Schizosaccharomyces pombe: one gene and its partners. The protein of the gene in region 2 interacts with the protein of the main gene of each other region in a pairwise test. Each region holds a gene or a part of one and is shown on either strand. Other genes may lie near its edges. The genes, in order: tea3, ntu1, tif222 and spo7.

Region 1 (7,834 bases), on a different chromosome or scaffold from region 2:
ATTTACATTCTTCTGTGGTTTTTGATGAATCGGCTGTTCAGCATCCACTCTTCCGGTCAAATGCACATGTTCAAATGATATATGATAATGCGATTATGCTTACTACGAGAGTTATTATGGTAAAGAAATTAAAAGATAAAGATTTAACTGCTGAAAATCGTCGCTACATCCAGCTATGTGTTGAAAGCGCAACAAGGGTCATAAACATAGCACATCTTTTATTAACACATAAGTGTTTGTCCAGCTTATCGTTTTTCGGGCTGCATGTTCCATTTGCAAGCGCACCTATTTTACTCTTGTCTCTTCATTACGAAAACTCTCAGGATATTCAAGCTGTAGTCACAAAATTATGGCAGGTATTGGAATTTCTGAGTTCAAGGTGTGAATTTGCTAGAGAAAGTCTAAACTACCTTAAGTCATTTAACAAACAGTTATCTAGGCGCAATGCCCCAGACATTAATAATCCGATTGCAGATTTCCAAAATAGTTTTCAAAATTGGCAATCCTGGGTGGGAGATATGTCACATGGAGACATGCTTTCTACCTTTAAGCTTACAGGAGAAAGCTCAAATGGTAGTAATAGTACTCCAAACGAAGCATTCCAACCTTTTGACCAAACATCATCTCTCTATAATGTTCCGGGTCTAAACAAAAGTTATGTTAGTAACCAACCCAGTTTGCTCACACCTGAAACTTTTCTACCGGATCCAGTTCTCAATTTGGAAGTTGATAAACAATGGACGGCTCCTACGTTTTTGAGTTGGACGGAACTGCTAGGCCCTACTAATGTCTCTGAGCAGTCTTCGCATACTGCAGAGCAAACTTCAAATTTGACCCTTGAAAAAAATGGATGAATCTTTAATGGTTTTTTGCAGGTCTTTGTTTGTTTTAATTATTTCTACGTAATTCATCATATGCTTTGTTCGCGTGGTTAAGGAATTAGCATTTAATACCAGTTTAGTAATTTGCACTTGAGAGTATCCTCATCAATCTAATACTTTAAATTTTCTCTTACTTTTTAAAAGTTAATTAAATTTCATTACTTTTTAAAATATAAATGAGTCAATGTAAATGCAGTAGAAATAATTGCGTATTTTATTGTTAAATATAGTGGTAATTTACATACGTAGTCAAACGACTTGAGATTAAGTAGAAAAAATCAAACCACTTCAAAAAATTATTAAGAAAATTGTACAAACCAAAAAAGAGATAAAAAATCCTTAGTTGATGAATAGAGTTACATAAATGAATGACTAAGCTGCTGAAATGACTCATCTGAGCAATTGGCATATGTTATGGCTTTTTGATAATCATCCTCCAGTTGCTTAATACGACTGGCATAGTAATTATCATCAATTGCACGCATTTCTTCACCTGAAAATGAGCCCGCGGTATCATTTAGTTTTGAGCGAACATCATAATAATCTTTAGATACCTGAGGGGACAAAGACAAAAATTTTTGCTGACTGTTGATAACATCAGAAAGTCTTTTATGTAAATCATTGTTATCCGGGGCTTTTGTTTCTTCAGATGTCATCAAATTACCAAAATGATTACGATATTTTGTAAACACACCACCAGAAGGTATGTCAGATTCTTTTGAACTATGTGCAGCACTAGCATTATTGAATGAATCCTCTTCGTTAAAGTATGATCTTAAGGGAGAGGAGGAAGCTGAAAAGTCCGTAGGAAGATGAACGTCAGTAGAGTCCTTTCCTGATAACTGTTGATTCATTTTTGAATCAGCCAATGCAATTTGTACCTCAGAGAGCTTACGCTGAGTAATTTTTGCTTGCTCGGTAAGATCATTGACCTGATCAGAAAGTTTACTTTTCTCTGTCATTACAGAGGAATATGAATGCTTTAGATCATAGAGCTTTTGCTGAGAATTTAGTAGCTCTTTAGTGCGACCCTCACAAAGTCTCTGGGACTCACGTAACAACTCGTGAAGCCCTTCTAGCTGAGACTCCAAGTAGGAGATCTTTTGTTTCGACTTCGAAAACTCTTTAAGATTATCTTTATTTTCGTTAATAGAAGATAATAACTTTGATAATCCGCTTTGCATTATAGCTTTCGAGTATTTAGCATCAGACACTGATTGTTCTAAGGCTGACTCCAACTCTAGCGCACGAGATTGCAAATTTTCCAACTCAATCCGAACATTCTCATATTCGTACTGTAAATTTAAGCACTTCTGTTGCAACGTACTTTTCTCATCCCTTTCTCTACGGAGCGAATCTTCAAAAGACAATATGGCAGTATTGGACACATCAAGAGCACTAGCGGATGCTTCAATCACATTTGTCTGCATCTCCACTCGATCATGCATCTCAATTAGCTTCGTTTCCAGCTCATAATTTCCATACTCCAAAGCCTCGCAACGAGAACGATAATCGACTAACTCTTCTGAAATTTGCAATATCTGTGATTGTAGGTTTTCATTTTCTTTTTGTAAAGATAGTATTTTTGATGAATCTTCTTCAAACACACTACGAAGTTTATCATAATCTACACAAAGTTTCTCATTTCGAGATTTTAAGAGTTCAGAAGCGGATTCATTTTGCTTCAATAACTGTTGAAGTTCAGTATTTTTTTGATAATAAGAGGTTGCCTCTTCAAGAGTCCCTTGAACTTCGTACTCTAACTTTCCAACTTTTTCTATTAAAGATCCAACAGTTTCGTCCGTTGTCTTTTTCTGGATCAGTGAACGTGAATAATTTGCATTTTCCACGGCAGCATCTCTCTGAGCAGCCAATTTTGCGTTTTCAGATGCTAGGCTAACGATTTGCTTTTTAAACTTTTGTTCATTAGATTCAAGCATTTGCTCAATCACCTTCAGTATTTCCAAATAACTGAGCTGCTCTTTTTTCTCAAGCCTCAATTTTTCATCAACGTGTTGAAACAGGTTAGGAGGTTTGAGAGTATAGCCTTGTTGCATACAATATAACAGTTGCTCCTCAAGCCAAGCTACACGATCATCAGAATTAGAAAACTTAAAATCTGATTGGAGTTTAAGCAGAGAATTACTTTCACTTTCGTTGATTGGAGATGAAGATTCGGAAGACCTAGAAATAGTATCGTTTCCATTAGGTAAAGGAAGAGACGCAATAGGTTTCTCAATTTCGTAAGCAAAGGGGTCAGCTTGCCCAAACTCGTGAAGAGAGAAATCTGCTGAATGATTCATTCCAGAGGTTTTACTAAGGTTTCTCAAAGAATGTAATCCTTGTTCATCCAAGCTAGCATAGTGCCGATGCCTAGCTGATCTTACGGCTTTTTGATTTTGCTCCAAAAAATTGTTAAATTGACTAGACGAGGTGGATGTCACAGAATTCTTTTTGGAATGATTAGGACGGTCGTTTAGGTAACCAAGAGAAACCGTGTGGTTTGAAGCATTTGAAGGTTTCATGCTAATATGCTGAAGAACAGGAATATCAGAAAATTTATCCTTATCCCAATACAAATTTTTGGGATCTGCTTCATAACATAACAGTTGCTTAGGAGCGTCAAGTGCATTAAGATATAATAGTAAAATATGATTGTTTTTTGAAACAATTTTGTATGAAGATGAATCAGAAAGCAAAATAGGGATCGGATTTGAGACTAAGGACCACCGCTGTTGACTATAATTAAAAGCCCAAAGCTCGTTGAGTATCAACCCTTTATTATCACGACCACCATAAATGTAAACCGTGTCATCTATTGTAGTAGCTTGATGACCTTCCCGCGGACCTGGAAATCTTCCTATAGAACGAACCTCGGTCCATGAAAGTGTTTCTAAATCAAAAAGCCAAAGATCACTTAATGGACCAGTATCATTATGCCCTCCATGTACAAATATTTTTCCTTGGACAAGAGTAACTGAGTGATTTGAACGAGGTGGAGGGGATGAGCTATGCAAAAACGGTGTTTCCCATGACCAATCAGTCTCATCAAATTCCATATTAGCCTTTTCAACATTATTTGCATTTGCCTTTTGCTTGAGTTCTGATTGCGTCCTCCGATCAACCCCTTTGGTATCAAACAAATGTATATCATTCAAATATTTTCCTTGACATTCACCCCCAAATATCCATAATTTAGAGTCAACTAACAACATAGAATGTCCAGTGCGAGGCGATGGTAAGGGGGACTGTGTTGAAACCAAATTCCATTGATTACTCTTGAAATTGTATGCGTACAATGAATTATCGCCAACTTCAAATGTGGAATCTGTTTCTGAGTCGCATCCTCCGAAAAGATAAATAGTGTCAGCAGAACAAACGATAGAATGACCAACTCGAGCAGGAGAATCATTGTCTTCCCCTCTATTGTGAGAATAAACCGTGCATGAATCCAGGTCCAACTTAAACAAAGAGTTTGAAATACCAGATTTTTCTCGTCCTCCATGTAAGTACATGAATTTTTCATTCGCAGCATCTAGACAAGAAGCCGGTTTTACAGCTTCCCATTTAAAACTTTGGTTCGTAGATGTCCTTTTATCATTTTCTTTGACTTTGCGAACAACCCATGCACGTATATTTTGCTGATCAATGCTACCGGATTCCACTACATCAAGCTGTTCAGCAGACACATCCTGAGAGTTATCCGATTGACGGCTTAAAACCTTTTGAACCATGTATTGCGATCTTTACCTTGCAAAATCGCTTACTGGTTTTGCAGTTGCAGATGGTAATCAAAGCGAAAGTTTAATCCAAGGAGTTTTTTAAAAGGTTCGGTTTTTACGCTTAAAAAAGAAATAAAATAGAAAAAATATATATTTTAGTTTTAAAAAAGAATTAAAAAGTAAAATTTTCGAAATAATATGAAAAGAGCATAACTTGTGGAGGGTAATGGAAACACACAGTCCATCAGGAAACGGCAACTTAGAGTAGAGAAGTCTTAGAACAACGAATACAATTGCAATACCCTACAATAAATTTTTGTAATACTGTATGATGTTTATAATTTATATCTTCATTAAACATAAAGAAGGGAGAGTAGATACAAGTTTAAGCGCAATAGTATACATTACCGTTGAATGCTCTGTTTGAATTGAAATTTAGAAGTACGAAATATGCTTCACGTTTGAAAAGCTTAGAGCAAGAAAAATGTATTTTTCCAATTACTCTATAGGATAGAATTTAAAATAGACAACCACAAAAACTGTTATTTACTTTATAAGCTAATTGTAGTAAATGGCCTACAAATATTACAAAATTTGATTTATAAGGCACATTTTAAAAATAAAACATTTGAAAACACATGCTGGACAAGTAATCGGACAAAAAAATAAAATTGCGATAAATGAAGCAAATGAGCGTCAATGCAATAAAAATCGATTCAAAATGGACCGATAAAAAGTTAGGTAAAAAAAAGTCGTTCAATTGGAATCCAAAGAATAATGTGTAGTATAAATTAATGAATGAGGTCTATAACAGCATCACATGGGATAGTTTGCAGGACAAGAAAGAATAAATAAAAATAATGAAGCACTAAGCGAAGGGCATAAAAAATAAAAATTTACTCTGAAATCGAAGAAAAAGAACGTAAACTCATTCGTATCTCCTTTAGTACAATCTCATTAAAATCTTCAGGGTTATCAAGATAGCAATGGTGACCAGCATTTGAAATTATGTGGTGCTCCGCCTCAATATTCATCTCCTTCAATCTGTTTGTCGCTTCTAAACCAGCAACATCATCCATCCAATCTTTATCTCCATACATGAATATAGTTCGACACTTCAACATGCGCAAGCGATTCATAATACATCGTCTAGCGAAAGCTCCGGGAGCGAGCAAATTGCCAAGTGCATACTCGCTGGAACCCTTGAGACGAAATATTGAGTAGCAGTAATTATGTAATGCCCTAAACGTTTCCGGGGGAAGCGTTGAAAACCTTCTGCTAGACCAAAAACTCATTAGTTTAGGACCTAAAGGCCCGCTTAAACGAAGTAGAGAAAATGGTGTAACATTTTGCTCCCATAAGAAGGTGATAAATCTTGGAAGAGGATTCTTTGGCTTGCTTGGCCGGGAAGGCTCTAAACCTGTAGTTTCCTCTTGGGTTTGCAGAACCTCATTAGTAACATTACTTAAAGGAGGTTCATCCATAACAGCATGCACAGCAGAGGAAGCAACGGAATTGTAAACTTCCGCATCATCGTTGCTTGCAAAAGGGTTTTCAGGAATGGCAACTGGACTAACTAGTAAGAGTTTCTCAACACGTTCCGGATATTGCATGGCGTAGACAGCAGACAAATAACCTCCCATACTATGGCCCACAAGGATCATTTTCTCGATACCATGACCGATTCTCCATGTTTCTAATGACTCAGTGAAAAACCTCTCTGTTTCTTCGACCTTCTCTGAAGCGGTTTGCCCCTTGATATCGAAAGGCGGTCTTGACGAGTTTCCCATGCCTAGCCAATCAACAAAATAAGAATTAAAATCCTTTGTCACACCCTTAGTCAAACCATCCATGTTCCGAAAGTAAAAACCAAGACCAGCTCCATACCCATGCATGTAAACAATGCTTCGCTTGTTCGCTTTTCCTGTTGCTTTATCACTAACACAAACCTCATGTACCAATCCATCATTATCGTAGATTTTGGAATCTACAACTTCAACTAACCTTTCTGGGTCCTTTTCATTTTCCCGAATAAAATCGACAGTGTGCAGGACTTCACGCTCACATTGTTTCGCATATTCTTCAGAGCATGCTTGACGCCATTGCCTCCAGGACATGCCAAACGTTTGCGTATAAGAATTAGCTGCTTCCTCACTTCTCACCGCGACTTTCACTTGGCTCATAGTAACGGTGCAAACGCTGAATTCAACACAAAATGGTCAATGAAGGAGTCAACCCCGCGATAATGACAATACAAACAAATTACTGTTTATGAACTATTTAAAACAAAATAATTCCGATATTTAAATAAAATTCCGGATATTGGCTCGGCAATTGGAATTCAAAGTGTTGTGCTGTGGGTAAGTTTATGTAAGCAAGATACGAAGGTTTTGATCTGACAAAGCAATGGCATTGTAACAAGCAGCGGAAAAGCAGCACATTCTCTGACTTTTTTTCGTTAATCTTCGTAACATTTTGGCTGAATTAAAAAAAGGCGAACAAATGATGAAGCAAGTTTTCATGAAAATTTCATAGAAAGACAATTGAGGTTTTAGTTCAATACTTAATACAGCAATTGTTCAAATATGATAAAGTCCCTTTATGCAATAAATACTTCAGTGCAGCAGAATATTAAAATTTGTTTCCGGCATTGTTATTGACAACACTATTGACATTGGTCATTGTTATGAACATCTAATAATTATTATTTTTAATTCATATAAATATAATAAGTAACGTATCAAGTATAGCACCATTCATCTAATTACTTAGCAAATTACATAAAATAATACATTCCTATGCACAAAGTTAACATTTATTTTTCATTAAATTTCCTAGATTTCTATCCAGCAACTTAATAGCTTGGAAATGACATGCCAGAAATCGTAATTGTCGAAGGAATAAAAAGGATAGCTAAGAAAAATCCCTATAAAGGATAATCATCTTTTCGGAATTCTATGACATATGTACTTAAGAAAGGTATCATTTGAATCATGGCAATTAATCAGTTTCCATGGCATCAGCAGAGTCAAGTATAGCCTCCGCAGTAGGCGCTTGAGGTTCTTCGGCGGCAGCCCTAGAAGCACGAGCAGCCGCGGGACCTTTGTCGCCTAATTTATCAAGCCATTCTTTTGTGTCATTTTGATCGTAAAGAGTATATTTTTCATCTTTTCCAATGACGGATATAGAAACGTTTTCTTCGGTCAGTTCTTGGTCTTTTGAAAGAGTATC
Region 2 (7,897 bases):
GAAATTTCAGACTTTATAGCATCCTCCTTTATAGTGCTTTCGTCAGTTTGCTTTTGCTCAGCTGCATTGGGTAGTACGAACATCATTTGTAAACCCGCTACTTCGAGTATAGATCTAGTAGATAATTAGTAAGACGAAAAAGAAATAAAAAAAAATAATTGGCATAATTTCCTGCATTTATTTGAACTAGGACGGAAATAATTATTTTCTTGATAATTTGACAAATCCTTAACGCGCATTTATAAAATAACCAAACATTCGTTTAAAATTGACAAATAACACGAGAAAACCATAGAACTTATGAAAGAGTAAAGCATAAATTATGCGCTGCTGAAACCATCAATATTCCGTCCTGTCGCAAATCACGACGAACCAACACTATTCTAGTAAATGATTTTTAACATACCCACTTGTAAGCTTGACTGTTTCCCCATTCTTGAATAACTTGCCATCTACTTTAATGCCATTTCGACCGTAAACTGAGCAATTCCATGTTTGGTCATCCAAATCATATTCCACAACAGCGTGTTTTCGACTCACAACTTTAGAAGGACCAAAATTCATATCAATTACTTCTAAATCTTCATTTTTCCCCTTTGGTGAAGGATTTGCTGGTTCGCGACCAAGTATAATTCGAATTTTCTTAACATAATAAGTCCATGTACTTCCAGCGAATTTCGCATAAGCTTGTATTTCTCCAGAGTGTCTTTCCGCATTTTTACTGTTCGAATAATCATCGACCACTCTCATTTCGTGAGGTGGAACGGACAACTTCGCAATTTGGGATTCCAGGCGACCATTCAATACAATGTTACGATCTGTGTCTACATCCATTTGCTTTTTGTAATCTAACTGTTCTTTTCTCTCCTCGTCATCTGATATATGCTCAGACTTGCTTTCGAGTCTGCGAACAGTCATTTTTCCTTTCTACAGCAATTGTGCTGTTGGTGTGTGTTTATTTACACTCGTTTGTTGTTGTCAACATTCGTTTACCTTCCGTTGCCAGCGCTTCACGGTATAACTAATATTGACCATCATTTTAGATACATAGAAATTAAAATATACATTTTTCTAAATATTTGTACATTTTTTATTTTTGTCAACAATGCGTCTTTGTTATCGTTGCTATTTATATTTTTGTAAACAATCAAGATACCGGATCTTCGATATACTTTTTTAAATACTAAGCAGTTAAAAAAATCCTCTTAATATATTGGCGTAGGATTAACTTATAAAAAAAAAAAACTCAAACAATCATAACTCTGCAAGACTTGTAATAATTTTAGCTTTTCAGCACTCAGTGTTTTTTGCACATGTAATGGCGTCTAACGGTCGCGTGCATATCCTAGTAATTACCCTATTATTTAAAACGTGTCTACTGAAGATTTATTTTGAGAACTGTACAAGCTATTACATGAATACACTAAGAGTATTAATTGTGTTTTATGGAAATTCCGAATCATTATTTCGCTTTCAATCAACCGATTTTGTGTGGCTGCAATATTAACGCTCAACTGTTTACTCACGTTATTTTCCATATTTTTACTAACTACGCGATTCGCGAAGTCTCTGTAGGATACGTAATATTATTTGGTGAGTTCGTAGCGCACTATAATGTGTGGTACACAACAGAAAGTATTATGCAATATACAGTTACCGAACATAACTCAGGCACGGAGAGACTTTGATATTATAATAAATAATATGTGGCTTACATGAACAGACAAACTTGATCTTGAATGATCTTTATTTCCCATACTTTTTTCTTCAGTAATATTGAAAATAGTCAATAAACGGCTTGATGGTTCCAGCTTCAGGACTCATTGGAGAACTCACACGTGAAGATGTCAGGCTTATAACGATATTTAACATACCGCAACAAAAACATTTAGCATGGTATAATCTCATTGCTTCACCTACACATGTATGCTAACGTGAAGTAACGAGTAATTACTATTTAGCGGATGTATACGATCGCTGGCACACACTCTCGTAGGTTTAACCTGTCGCGTATATCATCCATAATCGCTTCGCAGCGATCACCATTTATTTATTTATTTACCTATCTAAAGCACCAAATTCCTTTAGTTTCAAAGCGTTAAATTTTGAATGATAAACTGCATTTTTGCTCACTTGCGTTAACTTTCGGTTGTAAAAACCGGTAACAACGATTCGATAAATACAAATTAAAAGACCTGTTCTCCCTCAAGTTTGAAGTTAGCAGGCTTCAACATAGTTTATTGATAGGCTGCTGAATGTCTTCCGGCGATGTATCTCGTAGACAGCGTGTTTCTAGAGCATGTGATGAATGTCACAGGAGAAAGATCAAATGTGATCAGAGAAGGGTAAGATGTCAATTTCTTTGCTCTATTTATGTTTTGCATAATTTTATTATTTGAGTTGGGAACTGAGAACTCACTTCACCCAGTTACCGCTTTCTCTGAAGTTGATTGTAGCTTGATTGATTTCAGTTCAGCTAGAGAGCATGCGGATAACCTTTGTCGTTAATTTATTATTTTTTTGGCTTTTATTGCTCTTTTTCTATCTTATTTGCATTAATTTGGATGAGCGATTAGAAATAAATATAAATTTCTGTTCTTTACTAACTTTTTCAGCCTTGCTCGAATTGCATAGCATATAACTATGGTAAGTGCCTACAATTTAGATGAGATTATTTTCTTCAAGTTTAGTCGCTTTAAAATTTATTTCAAGCCTCTATTATAATTGGATGGAGTTTTCTAACTTTGTTGAAGAATGTACTTATGGTCAACCTTTTAAGCGATTACGGCATGCTCCTGAGAAGTATATAGAATTTTTGGAGCTTCGATTGAAATATCTGAGGGGACTGGCTGAAGAAAGCGATCCAAATTTAAAGTTGCCATCATTTCTGGCTCCTCCAAATGACAAAGATTCTCCTGTGAACCAATCTCCTTGGAAACGCTCTGATTCCTCTAAAAGAAGCTCGTCACAGGACGAGTTTGAAAGCTTATTCGACCGGTATGGACAATTGAGTTTAAAAGATGATGGGAAAGCCGACTTTCGTGGAAGTTCCTCTGGCTTTGTCTTTATGAAAAATATACATCAAAACATTGCGAGGAATTCTACGGTTCCCAATCCTGTCCAAGAATCTAATTCATCTTCTTCTCAGCCAGATCCTTTATCTTTTCCGTATCTTCCACCCACCCCTGCCGAAGATGAACATAAAAAACCGCCTCTCAAAATTCAGCTACCTCCATATGAGGAGGCTCTTTCTATTGTTAGCCAATTTTTTATGAATGACCATTTTTTGGTACATATTCATCATCCTGCATCTTTCTTTGAGAAGATGCATATGTATTACAAAACTGGCAAGACTGATAACAATTTTCATTTTTTACTTGTCGCTACATTGTGCTTGGGTTACACCTATATGCCCGATGAATCTCCTAGTGCTAACTATCCTTATCATGAAGCTTACGAGTATTACTATTACATTCGGTCTTCATTTTCATGGGAAGATAGTTATACGATTGAAGTTGTGCAAATTTTATTGTCTGTTGCGCTTTTTGCTTTGTTCAGTTCCCGACTTTCTCAAGCTTATACGTTCACGAATAATGCGTTATTGTGTTGCCACGAATTGGGATTGCACAAGGATTTTTCAGACGTTCTCACATCTCATGAATCTCGGTTATCCAAACGGGTATTTTATTCTGTGTACGTTTTGGCTTGTTACACCAGTACAATTGTTGGTCTTCCTCTCAGTATTGAGGACGTTGATATTGATCAATCGTTACCCAATTCTTTTGATTTCACATTAGAAAATGACCAGGTTCCTCCACGATTAATAGCATCAGAATGCACTAGCTTGGAAGTTTTTATACAACACATAACGCTTTCTCGTATTTTAAGTCATTTTGTAAGGAAAGTGTATCCAGTCAAATCGCCCTCTGACTCACACTGTAAAGTTTCATTACCAGCTGTTCGTGATCATGAAGAAAAACTTACATATTGGTGGAAAAACTTACCTTCTTATTTAAAAATGAGCGAAGTTCCAAAATTTTCACCCAAATGGATCCAAGCAATAATACTGGAATTGAAATTCAGGCAAATAGAACTCATTTTCTATCGCCCTTTTATTCACAGTATTAGTACACCAATTGATAATCAGAATGGGTCGCCAATGAAACCTGCAAATTTTGCTTTAAAGTGTGCACAATCTGCGGAGCGTGTTGTTTTTTTGTTACAGGAATTGGCCAAATCTCCAAATACTCCCAAACTGTTTTTCAATTTGTATTCTGGATACTACGCGTTAATGACCTTGACATATTGTGCTACTTTGACGAAGGACGATGCCAATAAATCTAATAATTTCATAACTAAGGCAAGATTAGGATTTCATTGTCTACAAATGATATACCGCGAATCCACTTACTATAGTACAATAATGGAGGCAATCAAGAACTTGCTAATTGCGTATGATATGAACTCATCTGGTACTGAAAATTTGGATGCGACCCCGGATGTTACAGGACAACTACCAAACAACTTTTCGCAGAGAACTAGTAATATACCTAGAGAGTTTCCGCAAGCACAAATATTTTATTCAGATGCTCCTTACCCAGGTTACTATAATCCTGCCCAGTTTCAAAATGCACCAACAAATTTCCCTATGCCTACGTATGGTGGGCGTACACAGGATCAATCTTATCCTAGACAAAACGGATATCCTTCCTATTCTGATGGTAATGTATACCCTCATGATAGGGTTATGATTAATTATGGTTCTTCAATGCCAACAGCGAATGGTTTTTATGTTCCGAACACCTATTCTCCAGTACCTTTCCCGTATAATACTTCATACCCTCCATACATGAGTCCAACTTCGAATATGCCTCAGGCTTTCCAAGCATATTCACAGTATCCTTACCAGCACCCGCCTTTTCCCTTGTCAGAACAAATGCTACCACTGCCTACTTCAGGGGTTATGATGGCACCTGGAGCTGCAAAATCTGGCATGCCGTATCCCTTCATTCAACCACCTTCCATGACTAACCAAGTTGCTTATCCTACTGTCCGAGATGGTTCTAATAATTCTCCTGACCATCCAAGTTCCTCAAACTCTAAAAGAACCGAGTGAGCGATCAATGTTGTTAAGCATAGAAACTCACTTTTGTTTTCAAAATTTTTTTTTCTGCAATAATTCTTGCTTCACTTTTTATCTTTAATAAGGGTTCTAGCTCCAACTTTTAGGGTTTGCTCATGAGAAAAAACATTGACATTTTTAAAAAACTTATTTTTTGTTCCTTTTAATTAAGTGATATTTTGTTTGGTTGATGATTAGCTTTTTATGTTTATTGAATAATAGAACGATTGAATATCTAGATTATCTGTCTTCCTAGATGTTTGTGATAGATTTGCTTTTTGATCTTTTGATCAAGCTTAGAGAGTTAGCCTACTGCTTCATGTCCATTAGCTAGTGATATTTACGCGCATTATTATCAGCAATGAATAACCAAGTAGTGTTAAAAGCTAAAAATTTTGGAGTAAAGTTACGTTGAAGTTCTACATTATAATGGATTACTGCAAAGCAATTGATGAACTAAAAACTTTAATAGTGTGCATTTTCTTTCACGATGGAATGTATAATTACTAAAATGACAATTAGCTGTTTATTTTGTAAGCAACTGCAAACCCAACTGTGGAACGTATTGTTGAGTACCTTTGGCATCTAGGCTAAAAAAATGATCCCTATAAAAATCTTCTAAATAAAAGCTCTGCGAAAAAAATGGTATCGAGATCTGATGCTTACACTGTATTTTAGACGTTGAAGAATTTAAATAATTAAGCCTGCACACTCAATATTTACCACCACACAACGTTGACACCGCCTTTGCATTCATAAAAATGTTTGCAGTAAAATATTAGTAGTCTCATCGATTCAATTGAAGCATAATCCCAGCTTAAAAGTTCGATGGTTATCAGGTTAATACTGAATGAAACCTTTAGTTTGTGCGTATAATTTTTTATGGTGAATTGTATTTTATAGAAATATCCAACTTTCTACTACAGAAGAAATACCGTAATTAGGTAAATTATGGTTGGGAAATCTAAAAATAGGGCCCACAAAAATATTCGAGCTAGATCTTGTCTGAGATGCAGGCGCCGAAAAGTCAAATGTGACCGCCAATATCCTTGTTCTCGATGTAAAGAGAGTGAAGAATCATGTACATATGGAGTAAACGAGCAAGCAGTCCAACTTCTTGAAGAACCTTTAAGCCGACCAATTACTAGAGAAACAGATAGTTCTGCTCATCAAGAGACTCGGACGCGTTTGGAAGAAAACAACCTCCCTAAAACCCAGAAGTTTGGATTCGTAGACTGGAAAACAATTTTGAAATCTTCGGCTGAATTTCAAGGTATTGTTCAGAGAGATCCAGAATCACGTTTAAGAGAAGCTTTAGAAACGGATCCTAAATTGAAAAAACGATTAGAATGTATTTTAGAAACTATCCCTCCTTGGGATGTATGCGAAAGCCTTTTAAAAGTTTATGCTAATACTTTTAATGTAACAAATTATATTTTAGATTTTGAGCAAGCTGATAAATTGTTATCTGATCTGAAAAATTCTAACCATGTTTTCGCGACTTCTATTATTTTAATAGTTACAGCAATTGCGGTAGCACTTTCGTTAGAATCCTTTCCTTCAAATATTGAAAGATACTTTTCGGCTGTTAATCATAGCGCCATTGAACTATCGGATGCATTAAATTCAAAAATTGATGACTTTTTAAATGAGGAGGTAATATTTCGACTATGGAGAAATATTGACAGAATTCGACTGCATGCTATAAGGGCGCAACTTTGCATGCGAAACCAGTTTCGAAGTATGAACACTGATCTATGTTATGCAATTCATTACGCATGTTTTGTTAATCCAATCTTTCAAAATACTGATACCGAGTATGAAGCAAATATGGAGGTTTGGCTTTCGATTTGTGAGATAGATGCTTTGGAATGTGTTTTACGATCTTGCCAGCCTTGGGTTCAGCACGATATTTACGGCAAACTTCTCTCTCAGCGAAAAATGGGTTCAGATGTTATTAGTTATGAGTTTCACTCACTACTCGGGCAATTGTTAACTTGTGGTTTGGAAATATATAAAGCTATTCATACTTCGACTGTAAACGAATTCGTTAACTCTATTCAGTTTTATGAAAGTCAACTATCGCTGGTTTTAATGGAAATAGAGTCGAAGTTTTCTAATATCGATGGATCAGATATTCATTTTCGCTATTTATTTCTCAAAACCGTATTTTGGACAGTACGTAAAAATCTTTATCAAGGTTTTATTACTGTGAGCCGTACTTTAGTACCCAATTATCCAGATATTGTTCAAAAGCTTGGCCAAACATCGATACAGTTGTCACGATTAATTAGCAATTCAATGGATTGTTTCGAAAAATACGGTTGGCTGAAAGCAATGTTAATTTTAGTTACACATACGTTTCTTATAATACATGTTTGTTCCGAAAGGGGTTACGATGTCCCAAAGGATTTTTGGAATGTAACTGCATCAGTACAGGCTACCCTTGAGGAAAAGAAATATCCGGGAATTGTATGGGAAAGGATTCATTACGTTCTGAATATATACACGACAATCAATTCGGTAGAACCAGAGCTCTCAGAAGACCATGGAGATTTGGACGACCAAAACCTTTTTCAGGTTTTTACCGACATATTTGATTTTAATTTTAATTTTCCATTACCAAACTTATAAATTATATAATCTTCTAATAGTGTGGATGTACAGCTATGCTTGTTTTTCTCTAAAGGATCAATGCCTTGCGGCTACGTTTATTTGATTTCGATGATCTGCCATTTTACAAATTATTAATTTGTAGGAAATTACATCAAATAT
Region 3 (5,431 bases), on a different chromosome or scaffold from region 2:
ACATGGTATTTGTCGACCGGCACTAAAATGCTGCGTAATGCTTCACTAATCGATCTTGGTATGTACAATCCTAAACGTAGCTTAATTCTAGTGTTAAATTGTTTATAACTTAGTCACAGAGAAACTGAAAATTCACGAGCATTACCCTTGTAGTATTAATCTAAAGAAGTAAAATCTTTGCTATGGAATCCTCTGTCGTCTCTCCATTCTTGAAGGTTTCAAGCATGATTATTCAGACTAGTTCGTAGCATGCGTATATAATAATAAATTTCACTATTAGCTTACAAGTTAACGCTCTAAATCTGGATAAATAAACACTGTGCATCCATCTTGAATACTTCAATAATGACCATTCTCCATAGCTTTTTATGACTTATATTATGAACATGACCAAAAATATAATAATAAATACAATATGGACTTCATTTTAAAATTCCAATGTTTTTTAAACGAATTTGACGCTCAGCTCTTTCTTTTTTACGTCGCACCGTGGTTTTATGCTTCCTACTTTTAATATGGACATTGAACGCATCTTCTCCTATTACAGTGAATGGATCACCCCGCTTGTCTAAACATTCCTCGCAAACGAACTTCTTTTTCTGAGATTGGCGACCGTTCATTATGGAGAGATAATCTCTGGCTTTTTCGAAAGCGTGCTGATCATCAGCAGATGGAGCAATGGCATCGCCATTATAAAAAAAATATTGAAATACTCTACAAGCCTTTTCAACTTGCTCTTCCCAATTGTTCAAGTCCGTAGTGTTTGTGGTGGAAAATAGAATTGAAGAAGGGGATAAATCTTGTTGAGCCAAACACATCGGGAGGAATCGACTTTGGATCCATTTCTTCTGAGATTTTGCATACTGTCTAGTAGAAACCTTCATTCGTTCTAAACAATCATTAAAGACTATATCCGAAGGCGCTTCAAACCATGGCATGAATTCTTTAAATCCAATACATTGCCAAATCCCACGGGTGAAATCAGGAGAAAATTTTTCACTTTCAGCAAGACTCTTCATGCTTTTTATTTCATCAACCAATCCATGGCTTAGCATTTTGTCAACACGTTTATCAAGTCGCGGCATTAAGACTAAAGAATCTGCGAACGCCCAAAATATTAGAGATTTGTATCGAAGTTTAGAGCCACTTGACTTCATTTTTTGCTCAGAATAAATTTCAGATGGCGGTCGACCGGTGTGAAAATATATCTCTAGGCTTCTTCGAATTTTACGAGTATCCCGAGGATGCCATTGCTCAGCCATCACGGGATCTATCTTTTTTAAATACGAAAGCATAGCAGATGGATCATCATCCAAGATATGAGAGTCCGGATGGGGTGGCTTACTAGGTGATGAATCGTTCGTCAATTTATCAATAGCCGACAAAGTAGTATCTTCAAACAAAAGGGACTGCAAATAATAATGAGTCCCTCCAACCACAATAGGTATCTTTCCTTGACTGTGAATCTCGTCAATTACGCGGGAGGCATCTCGTTCAAACTCGGGAACACTGTATTCTTTGTCAAAGTTCAAGAAGGACATCAAGCGATGATGAACATTCTCTTGCTCTTCCACAGTAATTTTATTGGTTATAGTATCAAATCCCCGATAAATTTGCATCGAGTCAGCATTAATGACTTGGCTTCCAAACCGTTTCGCCAGCTGAACTGCTAAATCCGACTTACCAGCTCCTGTAGTACCGATGACAACGCAAAGGGGCTTTAACATTTTATAAGATATAGATTTTTACCTTATCTTCAATAGATTACACACCGAATCAAGCTTAGACTAACAAATCCATTTCCCAAATTTTCCCAAGCAAGCCTGGCTCTTTACCAACTGATTTTACCTTACATTTTGTTTTGGTTCACTATCCCCGTTCCTTTATTGCGGCGTCAACTTCGGTATATGCTTTAACGATGTTTTAATTACTGTAAACAAGTTATTACATTTTTACAGCGTTCGTATTTGTTCGTTATTAACATGTAAACACTACTTGTCGTTTCCCATCGCCTGAAAATGTCAACTATTAATGTTGAACATACCTATCCGGCTGTAAGTAGCTTGATAGCAGACTTAAAGTCAAGAAAGGTACAAGGCCCCTTTGCAGTTGCCGTTGAAACGGCGCTGGTAATGAGACAAGTGATTTCTCAAACTCGCTGGTCAACAGTTGATCAATTAATTGATACAGTCCGTGCTGTTGGATCTACTCTTGTCAAGGCTCAACCTACTGGTATGTATTTTGAATCATATTCTTTTATTGTGTTACATGCTAAACCGTGAAGAATTTTCTTGTGGAAATATTATTAGAAGAATTTTACGCTTAATCCGCGAAGAATATCAAGAATTATTAAAGACTGCTGATGAAAATGAGAAGTTAATCGTTTCTTCATCGAACTCTTCTAGCCCTTCTCAAAAAAGAGACATTCCCTCTAACGAAAAATTGGTTCAAAGTCACGAACCTGTTTCAGTTCAGATGTACTCTTCTATGCTTAATTTATTAGGTCGTCCTACTCTTGAGTCTCCCACACATAGTAAAACCGTCGGTGACAGTAGGGTCACCGGTGGCATGGATATGCGCGCTGTGATCATATCTGGCATCCAAGATGTAATCGATGAGTTGGACAAGATTAATACTGATATTGAAGTTCAATCAATGGACCATTTGCATTCAAAGTATGGTGTCATGCTAAACATCTTATCAGTTAGCTAACCTTTTTAGTGAAATTATTTTAACTCAGGGTTGCTCAAAAACTGTTGAAGCTTTTCTCCGTTTTGCCGCAAAGAAACGCAAATTTTCAGTGATTGTTGCAGAAGGATTTCCCAATAACCAAAAAGGTTCTCATGCCATGGCAAAGCGATTAGCTCAGGCTGGTATTGATACAACTGTTATATCTGATGCTACGATTTTTGCAATCATGTCACGCGTGAATAAAGTTATACTTGGTACGCATGCAATCTTGGGTAACGGAGGATTGGTAACCTATAGTGGAGCCCAATTAGTTGCTCAGGCTGCCAGGCACCATGCTACTCCCGTAGTGGTGTGTTCGGGTATTTATAAGCTTAGCCCTGTTTACCCTTATGACTTAGAATCCATTATCCAACTGTCTTCACCTGATAAAATTATGTCCTTTAATGAAGGTGATCTAATAAGCCGCGCTGAAATTTTAAACCCTTACTATGATTACATCCCACCAGACCTAGTAGATCTGTTTATTACCAATTTGGGTGGCTATCCTCCTTCCTACCTTTATCGTATTATGAATGATACTTATGATGCAAGCGATACAATTCTTTAAAGAGTTTGCATTCTATTTTCTCTTGGAAAATTGATTACCTATTAAATCAAGTTTATCAAATTTCTTTACACGTGTTTAGGTAAATATTAAAATTTTGGAATAAATAACATGGGTTACATTAGATTGAATTTTTTTAACTGTGGGTTTCTGTTGCAAGTAATACAGGCAATTAACTCAGCAAAATAAAACTTTGAAATTAAAGTAAATGGACTATGAATTTTAACGAGTTTCCTTTCATTGTCTAATGATTTGAAATATGCAGTAATTAAAAAAACTAGGGCCACTAATATACAAACCAATTTGATTACTTTTCCCTTCGTAAACTGCTTTGCACTTCCATCTCAATGTCTTTGGGACTTGCTTGTCCTCGAAGCTCTCTCATCGTAAGGCCAACAAACCACTTTATAAGGGAAGTTTTACCATTTTTCAACTCTTCAAATTGTTTTGAATGTTTACTAAGAACACTTTCTACACAAGCTTTTATTTTCTCGGAATCGCCAATGGTACCAAAATTTTTTTCTTGGATGAGAGTAGATATAGGTTTCGATGAAGGTGATTTTATCAATGAACGAAGGAAGAGTTTAGCAGATGCAGCTGTAAGTTTCTTCTTGGAAACAAGAAGTACAATGTCAGCCAATTGCAAAGGAGGAACGATATTGATGTTAGGGGAAGGGTCAATTTCACGAACTTTTCCTACTAGTTCCACAGTGATCCAGTATGGAAGGGTACGTAAAGCATCCTCTTTCAAAGATTGATTTACATGGCTTATAGAATCGATATGGTGGTACGCATTTCTGTAGTAGTGATAGTATTCCTTCACACTTAATAATGTACGGGCCTCTTTATGACTAATGGCATGAGAACCCGTTGTAAGCTTTTGGAAAAGTTCGTCAGGCAGAGCAGGTAATGATTTTAAGACAGAATTCACATAACTCCGAGAAAGTATGATTGGGGGGATATCGGTTTCAGGAAGAAATAGATAATCGTCGGAGGTTGTCTTATTACGAAGAGGAAATGTTTTACCAGTGATATCGTCGAATCCCCTCGTTTCTGAGGGCCAAGAAACACCCATATTTGCCAAAGAGACTTGTCGGTCCACTTCATGGCGAATTGAATTTACTACATTTCGTACATTTGACAAATTTTTTAATTCAACACGAGCCAACTGAGTACCTAATTGGGGGAAATGGGATATGGATTTCTCTACTGATATCACTCCGTTGTTTTTAAAATGAAGTTCATTTAGATTTTCTGAAGAGATGACTGGCGCGATTGAGACATTAACATCACATCTCATCCCTCCATTTTCCATCAACGCCTCAGATATTCCAGCGAAGCGAACGATGGATTGCAATTTAAACAAGAATGCAGAAACAGTATTGACATCATGAAAGCAAGGTTTAGTGACGATTTCCAATAACGGAGTTCCTGCTCGATTATAATCCAGTAAGATTCGCGATGGATTTTTAGCAGACGTCGATTTTGCAGTATCCTAAATATAAGTTTGTTAAAATACTTTTCAAATCCAGTATATGGAAAGTTGTTTTGACAATGTTTCTTACCTGTTCTAGTTGAATATGTTGTATGGGGATTTGAGTATCTGGAACATTGTCCAAACCAGCCGACAATGGTATAAATCCATTTCTTCCTATAGGAATTTCTTTCTGCGTAATCTGATATCCCGCAGGTAAGTCTGGATAAAAGTAATGCTTTCTGTCGAATTTGCAAACATTCGCTACCTCACAATTCAGTGCCAATGCTCCTTTCACTGCAAACTTTAACGCTTCAGGATTCAAAATCTATAAAAAAATAAAAAGTTAATAAGCTGTGATAATTGAAACGCATTCGATTCTAAAAAAACTCACCGGCATAGAGCCTGGTAGTGACACATCGAAATACGCAACACAAGTATTAGGCTGTGCAAGAGGGTTAACCTTTGCTGGAGAAAACAGCTTTTTCACTGTTGCAAGTTGTAAATGTATTTCCAATCCAATGGAAGCGGCCCATCTTCCAAAAGACATTCTAAATAGCTTCCATTGAAGTGTAGGATATCAGTATTTGGCTAGTATCCGTCGCGGTAGTCGAGCTCCTCGATAGTAACATATAACGAAAAGCTATAACGATAATATTCAC
Region 4 (9,017 bases), on a different chromosome or scaffold from region 2:
TTGCCTTGCACCTCACGATAAATGCTGTCGACAAAAAACCTGGTATCTTCGTTTTCTCTTGTAAAATGATTGGCAAAAGCCTGTTCAGCTTGTTGGAAGTATTTTTCTTCTTCGGGGTCCAAAGCACCAAAAAACGGTTGCACTGGTTCATTCGTGTAACGGTTTACCTGATATGCACCTTCATCATTTCCAGCGCCTTCATCGTTTTTTGCAATACCGGGAGAAACAACTGAATTAACTTCTTCCTCCTTTTGTTTGGCAGAGTGCTTTTTACCACGCGTTTTTCTTTTTTTTGGCATTTTGCTCTAGGATTGAATTAGCATTATAGGATTCGAAAATTTGTTGGAAATAATTTCTGTTATGCCTCTTTAATTTTAATAACGCATGGGGGTATAAAGTTTTATTGTGCAAGCAATACTACACTACGCTATATTACATTAGGGTATTCATCACTATATGTCATATATTAGAATACCAGTTAGATCCGCGTATTGATCATTGCGGACATTATCCTCTTATTTACTAGGATATTTTTCTAGAAAAATTATCAGTAAGATTATAAATAGAGTTACAACTTAACTGAGAAACGAGGTACAGTAATAAGCACTATTTAGTGACAGGTAACAGTTTGACCCATATATATAATACCTACATTGGTCAGCGCTTATTAACCTACTTATTATAATATAATAGGTCACAAGAATTATCACCGGGTTTTACGTATCGTTAAAAAAGACACTGAACTGCGTAAGTGTCACCTATTTTTTTTACCGTACGTTATGAACATAGCTTTTTAACTAAAATGTAAATAAATAATGATTAGATAAATTGCAACAGCATTTTAGAAGAGCTAATCATTAATATCAATCAAAAACATTTCTATTGTCTTAAATTAATTTTCTTTCTTTTTAAGAAGAAGATCCTTCAATAACAGTCGATGAGTTGATATATTGTTAAATTATTTAATTTCTTACATTCAGAAAAAGATTTTAGTAATTTATTGACAAAGAAAAAAACTAATGTAAAAAATTAAACAATTAGTTACTTATAGTCGTCTTTTTTTTTGAAAAAAATAATTAAAAAATCTCGTGAAAGAGTTTTTAAAGATTTATGCTAATTGTGAATTAAATTATGGGCAGTTCAGGTAATTCTTGCTTAAACTCAGCTACCCTTCTGTTAAAATGAACATCAGGAACTTTAAATAACCGCTATTTACATTATATACCTTTTTTAAGAGCGGCAGATCGAATAAGGTAATTAGGAATTTTCATAAATTAGTATTATAGAAAATATTTACATGTTGGTCGGGTAATTTTTGAGAAAACTCAAACAAGTGGGAGCGTAAATCTATTGATTAGCACACAAAGTCCAGATCCACACTTTTTAAACTATCAACAAAAAATGTATCCTGCGACAACTTTGTGTATAACTTGAGTCTAAAACAAATTTGGATAGCTCACAGATAACCTTTTGCTAGAAGACTTTAAATTTATTTAAATCCTTAAATTAAAACAAACTGGTAATAAATAAAACAGAAAAAAATTTATGTACATTCAACTTTCTATTCTTCGTCCTCTGAACCGATAGATTCGCTACCGTCCTCGCTGTCGCTGTTTTCGACATCCTCGTCGTTATCAGAGAATAAAGGTTCTTTAACATCAATATCATCCATATCATCAACATTTTCAAGAGATGATGCCTCATTCAAATATGAAACAGATGGATTTTTAGGGACTGGTGCAGCTTTTTCTTCAGCAAGACTGGAGTCCATTAGTCCATGCTTTGTCGCGTAATCATTTACTGCTCTAAAGACACTTTGATCAACCATATCGAATGAATATATTGTACCACCAGCTTCAAAATTAACTGTAAATGTTCGTTGCAAAACATTACTATAGGAAAAATGCTGGATGCTAGCTAGTTCAATGAAAAGTATAGGTTTACGGAAGCCCCATAGTATGCCAGTACGCAGAAAAAATAAATGCCCTATTTGATTAGCAATTTTGACACAGAATTCATCCTTTGCATACCATCTTTAGCTTTATAGTTTGCTTCAACCCCATATGTCGTGCCATTGTCCCCCGTTTGCGGGTTTGGACAAACAAATTCTTCGACAGAAGGAGACAAAGTACTAGTGCCAATAAACTCAAAGTAATCGCGAAAAATATCCCATGAGTTCGTGCAGTGGGTGAAGGATCGTAAACCTTCAACGAGGTTGAGCTTTTTCAAAGGATACGGTGCCGTAAAAAAGACAGGTTCTTTTACATTATCACTTGAAACAATATTTTCTGCCGACGATTCACTTTTAAGGATGATCACAAAGTTGTTTTGAACATTAGCTTTCCTTGGACATGGGACATGGATTGCACAACGAATTTCATTCCAGGGAAGCCAAAATTCAATTAAATTGGGTTCGCCTGGTAATGTTACTGCTATTCCATTTTCATAAATGTAGACGTCTAGCTTTTTTCGCATAGGTGCCTGAAACGATAGATTAAGTACTCCATAGACCAATTGACCTAACTCATGTTGAACACGATCCTTTCGTTTTAAACTTCCAGCCTCCTTCACTTGGCCTGATTCGTTTTCCTTTTGCAATGTATTGATGTACTTGCAAATTCGATGCACTAGAGGCTGTATACTTTTTGTTTTCCCTAATTTCATTAGACTAAGGAAAAAAGCATGTACTCAAACCTTACCATATTGTTTGATTATATCTTTTGCTAACTCAGAATCTTTGGCAAATGCCTTTTCTATTTCATCGTTCACGTTGGACTCCATTAGAGATGGCTGCCGGCTAGAATTTATTGAGTCTTAAACAAGGGCTTCGACAGCACACCACACCTCAGCTAACAGTAACAAATGTAATAGCAACTATTTCCATTATCATGCAAATGATTTCGATCCAATAAAAATTTTATCCCAAGTGGTTACGTTCAAACTTCGGTTCGCTGTTGACTTTATGTTAGCAACAAATTTTTATTTTATGGATCAATATGAATATGCTTAATTTATAATTGCTCAATTTTACTCAACAAAGGTAGTCATTTTACATAAATGAGATAAAAACTCATTCTATTATCGTATCAGTTACTTTCGTATGAAAAGTCCAAAAAAGTTGGGAACATTTTGTGAAACGATATCGATTTTCCCTTTGATTCTTTTTGCGATCTATAGATAAATTTCAGCTGTAGAACTGATTAGCTTTCTTCAGCATTGGGAAGGTCAGATTGTTGCTCCTATAATCGGATATGGTTTCCCTTAAAGTTGTTATTGTTTCGATTTTGTCAAAGAAATTATTAAATGATCCTAAAATTCGTTTTATTGGTTTATGTTGTTCCCGATGTAATCAACGTGTGTTGACATTTACAAACGTAAACAAATAGTTTGTTCGCTAGGTCTAATGCAATGAGGTGTTTTAAGACATAAGCTATTTGTTTTGCCTATTTTTCCTTTACCCTCAACCTCCCTCAAAACTGACGGTTTGTATAAATATTTAAGGAAACAATTTTGATAATTGTCCTTACAAAACTTACATAATTATCCTAATTGCTTTCGCGATCAACCGATTGAAAGAATTCCTATATTCATATTGTATTTTTTAAGCGTTCTTCCGACATAACTATTAATTTCTTTTAATCAATTGTATAATTATCCACGAAAAAGGTAGAATGGATTTTAGAATAACAGAAGGATCTTCCCCAACAAGCTTAAGTGTTTCGGAAAAAATTGCAAAGTTGGAATCGTGCAATGATAGTCGCATCACTTGTCGTCCTGTGAGAGAATCAAAGCCTACCTATACTTCCGGCCAAAAGCATTCAGCGTTGCTTTCGAAGTTGAAGCGGTCTAAAGTTACAACCGATTTTTGCAAACTTGAGGAATCAAAGGGAATAATTTGTCAAGAAAATTTGCATACGGAAGGCGCTAAAAGCAAAACGGAAAATATTTCTGGAGAAGACAAATCTTCTCAGAGAAGGACACGCTTGAAGCAGATTCAGGAATTTATAAGTCATCGTCGCTCTTTTCTCAATTCCAATGCCAATTCTGTGGAGTCTGAGAAAATCTTGGCTGAAAACAATCATATGTTTAACGTTAAAAGCAAGTTAAGCAACAAAGAATCGTTTATTAAAACCCGGCGTCCTCGAACAAATGGTGAACTTTCTGATTTAAGCCTTCAGCCTAAACGAATATTTAGTGAACCCGTAAACTCTCATCCTTCTCAATCCATGTTCGGCAACGGCGTACGAGCTTCCTCTGGTTCTTACTCATTAAAACGTGATTTGAAAGATTATGAAGAAGAACTTCCATCTTCTAAAAAGCGCCAAAGAACGCCGCCTCCGATAGTCGTTACCAATTTTCCTCAGGAAATATTTCCTTCAAAAAAAATTAGTTTATCTGCTAAGAGGAGGATTCAGGGGAAGTATTCCGGGGAAAATGTTAGAGCAAGGATCGAGCTAGCTAGGGAGAGAAATAGAAAAAGGGACTATGTTTCAAATTTATCTAAAGGGCATACTACAAATGCTTTAGAAGAGAATCCCTTTAATTTAGGTCCTAATTATCGGGCTTCCACCAGAAAATGTAACAGAATAAAGGAAGCTATAAACCTATTTGCTGCTAAAAATGGTTCAATGGAAGTACCACCAAAAGTGTCAGTCGGTGATTCAGTTCTGACAACTTCTCAGAAGTTTTTGCAAGTGATAAGGGAAAAGACTGCGCTACTAATGAACCAAGATTCTAATTCAGTACAACCACAAGCATTGGCTGCAGCAGAGTCTCCTACAACAAAGGCTCCTACAACAAAGGCACCGACATCTGAGGCTCCTCCCAAGGGTCATGTTAAACAACTAGCCAAACAACTAGGAAATATTTACATGCCACAATCGATAAACAATGTTGAACCGACATCCCATTCCAGCATATCTAAGGTAGTTAATCCATCAGAGAAAGTTATTTCAAAAATTGAGAGAGCGTGTCTAGCTGGAAATGGTAATGTACACCCGAGCATAAAAATGGAAAAAAATTTAGAGTTGAACCCTCATCCAAGAACTTTGAACGCTACTGAACACAAAATCAATAGTCGTATACAGGTATCGAAACTTAACACTAAAAATGAGCTTGCTAATGCTGATCCCAAAATGTATTTACTTGAAAATCTTTCTGACCGCCTATATTTTTGCAAATTAGCAAAACTTTTGCTCAGGAAATACCCTTTAGACATCGCGGAACACCAATTTGCGTTAGTTTATTCAAGATTCCAAAGAATACCACTAAAGCAGATTTCTTGCTTAAAACAATCGTTGGTTGCGTATTATTCAGTGCTTTCGGAGGTTGGTATTACAAACGAAATAATGTTGCGTGAAAATCGGTTTTCTTCACCCAAAACCCCCGAAGGTCTAGTTTCAATTTCAAAATTACTATTGGATGACCGAGAGCATCTTAGTCATGATGAACGTAGCTATATTCAACAATTGCAAAGTCAGATTAAGTCTCAGTCAGTTCACCATGAAAACGCAGCTGAAGAAATTCGCAAGATGCGCAATTTACGCAATTCACGCATAAATAGTCAGCAGGTTGGCGAAAAAGTTTTTGTGAATCCAGATGTCAAAACTATGGATATTCAGGAAACGTTCCTACAAGATTATGAAGATGAAACGTTTGCTAACGAAGGTCTGAGCGCTTCAAAGTTTAAAGAAGAGTTTTTGCTTATAAGTGATAGCAAGAGTGATCTCAATTCCGAAGAAATAGCAACTCCCAATTCTTTGGAATTTAAAAACAATCCAAGAATTAAAGTTCCACGATCACTTTTAACTATTTTGAATTTACACGACCGTTCTCAACTGAAATTGTTCGAGGTATGTCACAATTCAGAGTTTAAGGACCCCATTAATTTATCCAATTGCTTACGGAATTTGCTAGAGAAGCAGCTATTGTCGTACAATTTTACAGATTGGTTTGCTAGTTTGGGATCTGAATATGAAAATGTGTATGTAAAATTCATATCACACTATGACTTTTCAAGTTTAAATGTTTACGCTTCCTTTCAAAAATTATGCTGTGATCTTTACTATGGCTCGGATGATTACATACACTCTCCTATTTTGCAAGTCTTCGCATCTTGTTGGCTTAAGCAAAATAGTAATTATGGGTTTTTAAATGAAGACATTATTGTTAAAATAGTATTGATTTTAATTGATTTACATAAATCAACCTATTCTAAAAAGCTCAATTCTTATGTCGTTCCGATGGAAACTTTTGTGAAATATGCTCTCGAGAAACTTCGTCCTCTCATATCTCCAGATTCAGTTTGTATTTTGTCGAAGGAGGACAAAAAGCATTGGCTCAAATATAAGAAGAACCGATCAACGTTTGCCAAATTGCTTTTCTCAACGTGGAGCAATTTACCAAGCGATATCGGTTTCATACTTGAATGCATGCTAAAAGAATATTATGATACGTTTCTGAAGTCTCCATTTGCAGTACCAAATGCCGTGCAAGCACAGTTGCACAACCAAGTAAGAGGTGATTTGACTCCCAAAAGGAATCGATCATCTCTGATATCTGAATTAATGAAAAGTTCAAAATTACTAAAGCAGGAGAGTTCTGGAAACAAAAACAGCACGAGTCTTGAAAGTGATGCTTTTAAGGAATCTTCGTTTGTTTTGAATGAAGAGAATGGAGGAATTTACGCAGGAAAGGAGATTGATCTTCCTGAACCATCAGTTATAGATGGTAGACCACATTTTTCGGTGTTTAATTACACTCATCATATGCAAGAAGAAAAGACTCATAACAGGTTACCATGGCACCGACGAGGCATGATTTCATATAAGAAAATGGTTTTAAGCAAAAACAATAGATGGGTAGCAGGTTATTGGAAGAAAAAGTACTGTATTGTCGATAGTGGAAAACTAATCTTTTATAAGTCAGATCATTTAGATCCAAATGCTTGCTCAAATGTTAGCCCCATCCATAGAGAATTTGGCTTGCAATCTTGCTTGGCATCTCCCAATTTACCTCCATCAATTAATTCTAATCGCAATAATGTCTTTTATCTAAATATTCCAGGAAATGAGTGCTATCTTTTTGAAGCGCCCAGCGTATTAGCGATGAACGAATGGATTCATTCTTTAAATTTTAATGCAGCCATGATTACTTGCCCTCCTCTACCAGAAAATATTACAAACACTGAATATGGTTGGGGGTACATTTTAACAAGAGCTGAGAAAAAGGCTTATTATACTGCTGCTGATGGAACCAAGACCTTTGTCGGTGACCTGGCTCAATTAACACGGTGGAGTCCAATGGACATTCAAGGATTACAAGACATTCCTCGTCCACTGCGTGATAAGGTTCATATTTTACGAGATTGTGTTCCTTCTTTACTGGAAACCTGCCTTCTTTTCCAGTCTTTGCCTGAAAAAATGGAGAAATGTTTTGCCGCCGGATCTAAAAATTACCTCAAAGCAATGGATAATTGGAATAGAAAGATGAAGTTTCTATATGAACGATCAATGATGTACAAAGAGTACCAGCGAGTTTTGGAATGCGAGTACGAATATCGGAAATCCCATGATTTCTACCCAACTTTATCTCCTGTAAGATATCCTTATGATTTTAAAGGATTATAAAATTAAATTTCATTCAAAGTAGTTAAACGAATAAATAAACTTGAGTGATGAAAAGACATTAGGCCTCCGATTGAGAGAATGCTACTTAGATATCTTTTTTTTAGCTTCTGAAGAAGAGGGTTAATAGTTGTCGAGAGTTCCAAATAAAGTATTTTGATTTTATTTAGATTTGACAAATCTTTTGTCATTTTATTATTTTTTTATGCTTAAACTTCTGATAACATCCAGTTATAGAATATTTCATTATTGCAATATATGCTTCGATGGGATTATTTCAAATGCCTTAATACGCGCTCGTTGAAACTGAATAACTACGTTGGTTACCGCTCATTTTAGCTTTAAACTTACAATAGTAACTTTACTTAGATACTTAATCAAACAGCTTGCGAGAACTTGGATACATGCTATAGCTACCAGAATGCTAAAGTCCAAGTTTCACCTATTTTGAAATAAAACAATATGAGTAGAGGTGTATGCAATTAATAAGGAATAAAGCAATTATAGAAACAGAAAGAAATTGCAGTACTTTTATATTTCACCTTCGTTGATTTATAATACTGTTTTAAGCATTAATTTCTGATTAATTTTTTCTCGCTTAGATAAAACTCTACATAATCCTTCTTTGCAAAGTCACGTCGCAATGGAGGGCGCTAACGGTTAACATAACCTGAGCACATATCGCGTCTTTTGTGCAGGCGTTTAACAATTGCCCGATATTTAAAGAATCACTATTGATAAAACGTACTCATAATTATTCTTCTACCTTTAAATTATTATTGACTTTGTATGATTCAACGAATTATAGTAGAGTTACTTTCCACCTACGTCGCATCAAGGGTATAAAACGACTTCATCTTAATAGATATACGTACTAATCAATTTTAGATTGCTAGAAGTTCTACATTCCAACGCCTGGTGAAAAGCGGAATTCGCAGAGTTGGACAAGAAATCCCAAATTATGAAGCTAAAGCTCCGCTGGAAAGGTCATCAACGATTTTTAACAAGGCAAAACTCTTTGGTAGGCTTTATTTGGAGTCCTCTAAAGAATACTTTTTCAAAAAGAAATAGTATTTTAAACAATCAAGTTTGTTTTGAAGCTATTAAATACATCCAAAGGCATTATTTCAGCAGTCAATCGCACCATGTAACCTATCTTCACCAGTCGCCGCTTGAGAAATTGGTGAGTAATGGCGTGGTAAACGAGAACGGAGATTTGACCATGGATTCTCTTTCTCATCAAATATACCTATTACACAAAAATCGCCCCACCTTACCATTAAAACCAACTAACCAGCCTACGAGATTTGCATCTGTTTTGATGCCTCTAGTAAACACTTCTCAAGGAGCTTCTTTACTACTCACGCAACGTTCTCCAAACTTGCGTTCTCA

The links.
Region 1: the proteins of ntu1 (region 2) and tea3 interact in a two-hybrid assay, tested with the Schizosaccharomyces pombe proteins (one large-scale study listed by BioGRID).
Region 3: the proteins of ntu1 (region 2) and tif222 interact in a two-hybrid assay, tested with the Schizosaccharomyces pombe proteins (one large-scale study listed by BioGRID).
Region 4: the proteins of ntu1 (region 2) and spo7 interact in a two-hybrid assay, tested with the Schizosaccharomyces pombe proteins (one large-scale study listed by BioGRID).

What each region holds. Positions count from the first base shown.
Region 1 is NC_003424.3:3,213,453-3,221,286, forward strand, and holds tea3 (cell end marker Tea3), read right to left. Parts: upstream 4,822-7,834; 5' UTR 4,616-4,821; coding exon 1,238-4,615; 3' UTR 1,061-1,237; downstream 1-1,060. Other genes in the region: DNA-binding transcription factor Thi1, read left to right, coding at 1-854; cardiolipin-specific phospholipase Cld1, read right to left, coding at 5,500-6,786; proteasome core particle subunit alpha 6 Pre5, read right to left, coding at 7,604-7,834. UniProt on the Schizosaccharomyces pombe protein: Acts as a cell end marker required for efficient new end take-off (NETO), whereby growth is activated at the cell end to generate bipolarity in extending cells. Also required for proper placement of the septum.
Region 2 is NC_003423.3:4,241,745-4,249,641, forward strand, and holds ntu1 (regulatory protein ntu1), read left to right. Parts: upstream 1-2,000; 5' UTR 2,001-2,255; coding exon 2,256-2,345; exon of another isoform or gene 2,346-2,413; intron 2,414-2,615; coding exon 2,616-2,646; intron 2,647-2,753; coding exon 2,754-5,116; 3' UTR 5,117-5,682; downstream 5,683-7,897. Other genes in the region: DNA-binding forkhead transcription factor Fkh2, read right to left, coding at 1-114, 407-918; SPOM_SPBC16G5.17 (transcription factor), read left to right, coding at 6,074-7,756.
Region 3 is NC_003424.3:1,670,243-1,675,673, reverse strand, and holds tif222 (translation initiation factor eIF2B beta subunit), read left to right. Parts: upstream 1-1,997; 5' UTR 1,998-2,018; coding exon 2,019-2,232; intron 2,233-2,284; coding exon 2,285-2,675; exon of another isoform or gene 2,676-2,693; intron 2,694-2,721; coding exon 2,722-3,298; 3' UTR 3,299-3,477; downstream 3,478-5,431. Other genes in the region: tit1 (tRNA isopentenyltransferase), read right to left, coding at 423-1,727; glutamyl-tRNA amidotransferase beta subunit Gta2, read right to left, coding at 3,603-4,790, 4,861-5,097, 5,164-5,319. UniProt on the Schizosaccharomyces pombe protein: Acts as a component of the translation initiation factor 2B (eIF2B) complex, which catalyzes the exchange of GDP for GTP on the eukaryotic initiation factor 2 (eIF2) complex gamma subunit.
Region 4 is NC_003424.3:3,244,927-3,253,943, forward strand, and holds spo7 (ArfGEF Spo7), read left to right. Parts: upstream 1-2,832; 5' UTR 2,833-3,671; coding exon 3,672-7,628; 3' UTR 7,629-7,955; downstream 7,956-9,017. Other genes in the region: RNA-binding protein Nop9, read right to left, coding at 1-299; histone H3.3 H4 heterotetramer chaperone Rtt106, read right to left, coding at 1,562-1,986, 2,031-2,654, 2,700-2,781; pcd1 (coenzyme A diphosphatase), read left to right, coding at 8,587-9,017. UniProt on the Schizosaccharomyces pombe protein: Appears to have a role in sporulation.